Xenopus tropicalis: one gene and its partner. The protein of the gene in region 1 purifies or fractionates together with the protein of each later gene. This does not show direct contact. Links are inferred from orthologs where the notes say so. Each region holds a gene or a part of one and is shown in the gene's direction. Other genes may lie near its edges. The genes, in order: slc6a15 and glycerol-3-phosphate acyltransferase 3.

Evidence for each region.
Region 2: the proteins of slc6a15 (region 1) and glycerol-3-phosphate acyltransferase 3 purify together in Homo sapiens (co-immunoprecipitation; 3 studies listed by BioGRID and IntAct, counting the BioPlex papers as one, with this or other methods). This does not show direct contact. The link is inferred for Xenopus tropicalis from reciprocal best matches to the Homo sapiens genes SLC6A15 and GPAT3.

The regions. Positions count from the first base shown.
Region 1 is NC_030679.2:53,629,636-53,633,462, reverse strand, and holds part of slc6a15 (sodium-dependent neutral amino acid transporter B(0)AT2), read left to right. Parts: intron 1-720; coding exon 721-962; intron 963-1,040; coding exon 1,041-1,233; intron 1,234-2,483; coding exon 2,484-2,676; intron 2,677-3,139; coding exon 3,140-3,299; intron 3,300-3,648; coding exon 3,649-3,811; intron 3,812-3,827.
Region 2 is NC_030677.2:85,544,673-85,548,499, forward strand, and holds part of glycerol-3-phosphate acyltransferase 3, read left to right. Parts: intron 1-3,014; coding exon 3,015-3,309; intron 3,310-3,827. UniProt on the Homo sapiens protein: Converts glycerol-3-phosphate to 1-acyl-sn-glycerol-3-phosphate (lysophosphatidic acid or LPA) by incorporating an acyl moiety at the sn-1 position of the glycerol backbone.

The DNA.
Region 1 (3,827 bases):
ATGCTAAATACAGACAGCAAGAGCAAGTGGCATTTAAGGGAAAAAGTATCAAAGTTGTGGCAAAATGTGTATATGTAAAAGGATAAAGATGCATGAAACAGACATTCTTAAATTACTTATTTTCTTAAATGTACATTTACATTATTCTATTTCACCTATCAAAAGTTTATAGGCAGCACGGTGAACAGAAGTTCTAAGGCAAAAAAAGCCTAAACCTAAACTATTCCTAAAGAATAGTGCAGTTCTATTTAGACCTCAAACACCTTGAAGAACCAGAAAGAATTGAGAAATGTGCTACCCAAGGTTGGAGTGTTCCCTATTGGAGCAGGGGGTAACCCATCTATTTTAATAGTCATTTGCTCCTTCTAATAACTAATAAATAGTTTTAGTAAAATATCTGGTGCAGGGTTTTGCTGTAAAGTGGTAGTAGAAGTGATGATGCTCAGTTTGGAGACCATAGTAGTCATGGTGCTTGCCATAGTAGTCATGGGATGCATATGCCAGCACTGTGCAGGGAATATTATATTTAGAGATGGGTTTCATCAGAACTTGGAATGTACTTTAAATTTATGAAGTAAGCTAGTAAAGCTCCCTTGTTGGACGGAGGGACCTGAAAAGTCAGTTACCAGTCATATACTGGAATCAATTTTATTGAGAAAATTTGTTGAAAAAGTAAAAGTTGCTGACGAGTTGAGATTAAGTTTGTATATTTGGTTTCAGCTTGAAATAATGCTTGAGCCCAAAGTCTGGCGAGAAGCTGCCACTCAGGTGTTCTTTGCGCTTGGCCTGGGATTCGGAGGAGTCATTGCCTTTTCAAGCTACAACAAAAGGGACAACAACTGTCATTTTGATGCTGTCCTGGTGTCCTTTATTAACTTTTTCACCTCTGTCCTGGCAACACTAGTGGTGTTTGCCGTGTTAGGATTCAAGGCAAATATTATGAACGAGAACTGCATTTCCAAGTAAGATGCTAATACTTTTTTCTTGTGTTAAGGAACGTTCCCCGCAAAGCCACTAATTACTGATTTGCTTTGTTTCAGAAACACAGTCAAGATTGTGAAATATTTAGAAGCTGGCAATCTCAGCTGGAGTAATGTTCCACATCATGTCAATTTCTCAAGTATGTCAGCACAGGACTATAACCTGGTCTATTACATATTTCAGAAAATAAAAGAAGAAGAATTTGACAGCCTAGGGCTGGACTCCTGTCAGATAGAAGATGAGCTTAACAAGGTAACCTTCACATTTTCATTACAGTACAGGAAACAGCAGCACTAATTTGCCTGCTTGTGCCAAGCATTTGGCCCTCTTGCGCTAAGGTAACAAGGCTGGTTACAGCGAGAGTCTTACTTTGTTCTCTAGCTAGTGCTACAAAACAGAGTGGTGCAAAATCACCCCTTAGTGCTGTATTTGCATCTTGCACTAAATCTGCTGTGTCTTGTGTCTGTTATTGCTTCCTAACTTGTGTGTGTCTGAATGACTTGCAAAATAGGGGTGTCTAGCCTAGCCTAGCCTGCCTCTTATGAATAGAGCACTGGCAATCACAGCAGTAGGTTTTCAGGAGAAGCACCATATTAACCATATTAAATTTGTTCTATAGAGTAAAATGTTGCTATGGTTGTAATGTAGTTCTAGTCAACCAATGCAAATGTACCGGTTTGTTTAAATGCAGTTATTTTATTACTGAAACAGCCACCACAATGATTCATTTGTTTCAAATAAGCAGTGGGTTTTGAGTGTTGTTATAGTATCAGATTCTCTTTTATGTGCAACCATCACAACTGATTGCATGAAGGAGAAGTTTGGATTTTTCCAAGATATAATTCATTTAATTCACATTAGTGCTAAGGTGTTTGCAGTTTCAAAGTCACTTTAACCTCTACACCCAGATACCAGCCAGTATAGATGACTGTGTGGTCTCAGGCCAGAAGAAATAGGCTGCCTCTTATATATGCCATAGACAGTCACTATTTAGTGGGCTGGTGGGTAGTAATGAGTAAATCTGTCCCTGAAAAATTCATGAAACGAATTTGTTGCACGATTTTTTGTCGCCCGTGTCTTTTTTGACGCCTGCATCTTTATTTTGTCGCCAAGCTTTTTTTTTTTACACGACCGCACCCAATTTGACGCGCAACTAATTTTTCCACTGGGAATTTTCACGGAAGTTATGCAAAACAATTCGCCAATGCCGAAATTTGCTGTGAATCCATGCCTGGTGGAAAAATTTGCTCATCACTACTGGTGGGGGCTGTATGAGCCTCTGTGTACATAAAATACCAGGGCCTATTTTGTATCCCAGTGCAGACCATATTTGTAGGTGTTAAAAGGAATGGGTAACAACTACATGAGTCAATCAGGGACTTAAAATACTGTAATTTATATTTATTAGTCAAAAGGAAAATTGTCATAAATTAAGAAAATGAACATTATTGCGTGAGTATTTTTGGGTGTTAACACACTTTTAATTTCTCCTTGTCTTTCAGTCAGTCCAAGGGACTGGGTTGGCTTTTATTGCCTTCACTGAAGCTATGACACATTTTCCTGCTTCTCCTTTTTGGTCAGTGATGTTTTTTCTCATGTTAGTGAACTTGGGCCTTGGCAGCATGTTTGGAACTATTGAAGGCATTATAACTCCCATTGTTGATACATTTAAAGTACGGAAGGAACCACTCACTGGTAAGCTCGTATTATAAATTGTTAACGCGTTATATTTGCATAGTGTTGTATCTTAGGACATAGGCTGTGTTTTGTAAGAAGACACTGAGTTATTTAGCTATTTATGTACCCATATTAATTCAATTATATCATATTTTTCCATTTAACAACAATTAGAGAAACATTAAAGCCATCTTTTTTTGCCATGCAACAAATCCTGAATAGTGAACCATCTATAACTAGTATATTCATATTAAAGGAAAATTCCAGCAAAAAATATTAAAAAAATGTTGTCTCCTATTATCTAGGGCTTTAAAAGCACCTGATATTTAGGGTTTGGTACTCAAATTCTAAAGATTTAGTCCAGAACCCAATCCTTGGGATTCGGTACTTCCCTAAATGAACAGGGATAAGCAAACTACTGCAAAATACGTTATAAAAAAAATGTTTTTTTTGTTTTGTCTTTTTCTTTTTTTTATTCCAGTTGGATGCTGCCTGCTTGCATTCTGCATTGGCCTACTCTTTGTACAGAGGTCAGGAAATTACTTTGTTACGATGTTTGATGACTATTCTGCTACATTACCACTGCTGATTGTGGTCATTTTAGAGAATGTTGCAATTGCTTGGGTATATGGCATAGACAAGTAAGTACTGGGAATTTTATTCAACTCACCTTTCTAATTGTCTAAACTAGTTCTTTTTAACAGATGATTTCAGAGGACATTATTGACAGCTTGACATACAAAGCTTTATAAAGATGCCATTTTACACCTAGTTTTTACTACCATTCCATTTACATGACTTAACAAATAGGCCCATTAGTATCACATTCCTTACCATTTTATGTAGCCCTAACTCCTTTAATACATTTTAATTTAGATGTATATTTAATGAATAATGGGCCTTAATGATCAAGTGGTCATACTGACTGAATAATCTAGCAAAGCCCAGACAACTACTTTATATCAGTGTCTTTACTTCATTCTCTTTCAGATTCATGGATGATTTAAAGGACATGCTAGGTTTTACCCCATACAAATACTATTACTATATGTGGAAATACATCTCTCCTGTCTTGTTAACTATTCTTCTTATGGCAAGTATAGTTCAGATGGGATTCAGTCCGCCAGGCTACTATGCATGGATTGCAGAAAAGGTATTGCTATGTCTTT
Region 2 (3,827 bases), on another chromosome or scaffold:
CAGGCAAAATCACTCTACAAATTGCAATGCCAGGAAGCTAAATATTGGTGCAAAATACCAAACTGCAATGCTTTTCTAAATAAAGCATTTTTTTATAAAAATATATGAAAATTCTGAAAAATCAGCGAAAAGCTTTGTTTACAGTATCATCTTCTGCAAGTGACACAAGGTAACACTACTTAAGGTGGCCATACTTAGGCCAATTGTAGCTGCCAATATCGGTCCCTTGGACTGATTCGGCAGCTTATCAGCCCGTGTAGGGGCAGGAACAAGGGGCATGCCCGACCGATATCTGGCCTGAAATTGGCCAGATATCGATCGGGCAGGTTAAAAGATTTAGTCGGATCGGGGACTGCATCGGCTCGTTGATGCGGTCCCCAAACCAACTGCCCCATTGCTGCCATTATAATTCGATCGTTTGGCCCTGGGGCCTACATGTTCCCCGATATCGCCCACCCGTGTAAGCCCACCCGTGTAAGCGAGCGAATCTTCACGTGTATGGGCACCTTTATAAGTTTCTTCACTAACACTATCCAAAATCCAGCTGCACAAATGGCACCCTCAGTAAACAGTTGTCCTTGGTGCCTGGTCTGATGGTGATAATGCAGTACAACTAAACATGCAATGTGTTTGCTGAAAATTATCAAAGGGTTCTTCTCTAGTCCTAGGGGCTGATTTACTAAGACATGATTTCGAATCCGAATTGGAAAAATTCCGATTGGAAACGAACATTTTGCGACCTTTTCGTATTTTTTGCGATTTTTTCGGCGTCTTTCCGATTTTTGCGTAAAAACGCGTGTTTTTCGGCGTCTTTCCGATTTTGCGTAAAAACGCGAGTTTTCCGGCGTCTTTACGATTTTTGCGTAAAACGTGAGTTTTTCGGCGTCTTTATGAAAGTTGCGCAAAGTCGCGATTTTTTCGTAGCGTTAACACTTGTGCGCAAAGTCGCACCTTTTTCGTAGCGTTAAAACTTAAAAGGCGCGACGTTTCACGCAAGTTTTAACGCTACGAAAAAATTGCGACTTTGCACAACTTTCGTAATGGCTACGAAAAACTCGCGTTTTTACGCAAAAATCGTAAAGACGCCGAAAAACTCGCGTTTTTACGCAAAATTCGTAAAGACGCTGAAAAAAATCGCAAAATTACCGATCATTACGAAAAAAACGCAATCGGACGCATTCGGCCCGTTCGTGGGTTAGTAAATGTGCCCCCTAGTGTAGCTTTCGCGACCACCAACTTTCTGTAGCTGTGTCTGAATTTGAATATTGCCTGTGCTTGCAGTGTAGCTCCTAATGTGCTCTCCCCACTGTGCAGCAGCTGTTTCACTTTTCTGTCCTCACTATGTGTTACCCTAAGGTAGTGTGTAGCTTGGGAAGGTCAGGGGTGTATTTAGGTACTGTGCTGACATAGGCACCAGAGCTAATTACGCTCCTACATTGTGTGCGATATCACCGGCACGGGGTGCTTGACGTCACATGTGCTGACATCAAGCGCAGCGTATGTGTGCCATCACTTCCCCGAAGCCACCAACCACCAACTCCCCACACCCCCCAGCTCTGTCACTGGATTTTCTATAGAAATTCTGAGGGCATTATTTTTTGATTAAAAAAAAAATCAAACTATATATATATGTATATTTCTAGTTTTCATTTCCCTTTACCTTATCAGAATTATACTTAAAATGTAGCACTTAATAAAAAGTCAAAAGCACCTTAAACTGAGCAATGAAAGAATTTGTGAATCATTTTAGAGTAGTTAATAGTAAAGGGAACCTACAAAAATTCCCTTAGGAAGCCCATGGGTAATGCACCTTCCCATTTAGGAAATGGAATAGTCTTTATGTTTATTTTTAAAATGTTTAGAGCCCTGTTTAGAGCTTTAAATAACAAAAAAAACACAGGTTTTACCTATTTTTTATATTATGAAACAAATATGTTCAGCTATATGACTTTATCATTAAACTGGTGATATAAAAAGGTATACTGTATTGTAATACAATTATTGCTAGTTTGCAGATTAACACCATTGGGCAAGCATGGAGGGGAATCTTGCAGTAAGAAAATGTAAAAAACAGCTTTTACCCTAAATTCATATAATCCTTTTGTAGTAATATGTATTGCAGTCAATGGACCTTCTATTGATGGATCAGTTGGTGAATCTAAATTAACTTTTTAATATAATAAAGTTTTCTGAGACAATCTGCAATTGGTTTTTATTTTTTGTGTGTGTTTTTTTTCTGGTATTTAGCTTTTTGTTTATCAGCTCTCCAGTTTGTAATTTCAGCAGCTGTCTGGTTGCTAGGGCCTGGTTTACCTTAGCAACCAGCCAGTGGTTTAAATGAGAGACTGGAATATGAATAGGAGAGGGCCTGACTAGAAAGATGAGCAATTAAAAGTAACAATCATTTTTGGCTATCAGGGGCAGATGTAGAAGTGGAAGGGAAATAATTCAAAAACTATAAAAAACAAAGAAGACCAGTTACAGAATTGCTAGGAACAGAAAATTCAAAATTGCTAGGAACAGAACATTACTAAAAGTTAATTTAAAATTAATTTAAAGGTGAGCCACCCCTTTAACTATATAATCCTCTTTTGATTGCTCTGATAATTCACATTTATCCTTTGAAGCCTTATATGTTATATTGTGTCATTTTATGATTCATTGGTTTTTAAATTTATTAATAAATGTTAAGTTTTAACTAACTGTTCTAATCACATGGTTCTGATTTGTATGTGAATGGAAAGGTGCATTATTAAGGGAACTCTTGTAGGCCCCTTTTTTCTAGAATTATACTTTATGTATATCTTCAGATACAGAAAATGTAACATCCCTAAAATATTACATCTGATGAACTATCACCAACAAACATATAAGGGTTCATTTGATATATCCTTTGCAGTGTGCAAATGAGCTCTCTAGTCTATATAATGAGATAAATTTGCTATAAGCCTTTAAGATATGTAAGCAAATGCAACAATGGAAATACATCCTCCTTTTTGTTTCTGCCTACCAAGGTATTATACAGAGAGATCAGTCCCCAATGGAGACAGAGATTGGAGGCTTGAGAAAAAGTAGGAGTCAGGACATACAGCAAGGAGACTTTGAACTTGGGGATGTCTTCTATTTTGCAAAGAAGGGATTTGAAGCTATTGTTGAAGATGAGGTCACTCACAGGTTTTCCTCAGAAGAACTCATCTCTTGGAACCTTCTTACTAGGACCAACAACAACTTTCACTATGTCAGTCTCCGAGTCACACTCATCTGGGTGCTGGGATTATTTGTGCGCTACTGTATTCTTCTGCCTTTACGGTAAGATTGTGAAAGTTAGACCAGGTTTGGTAAACTCCTATATGCATGTAGCACAGTGCTGTCCAACTTCTGCGGTGCCGAGGGCCGGAATTTCTCTCGGGCCGCTAATGGAAGCCAGTTTGGCCACTCCCCCATTTTAAACCACACCCACTTCAAACCACACCCATTTTATCACAATGGTCGCTGCAGGGATATCAACCATCATTCATATGTTAAAGAATTATATTATGTCATATTAAGACAAACACTTAAATCCATATGCCTTCTCCTCCCCTGTGGATAGCACAGCAACCCCCAGCATATAATTACACACCTTAGGGACCATTTAATTGCTATTTCCAACTGCTAACAAACTCCCAGAACAAACCCCTGCCAGGTTCACCTCCCACAGGCAGCATAGGGTAGGCAGAGTATGGCACACACAGGCAGCACTCTGCCTGTCCTATGCTGCCTGTGTGTACCATACTCTGCCTGTCCTATGCTGCCTGTGGGTGCCATACCCTCCCTTCCCTATGCTG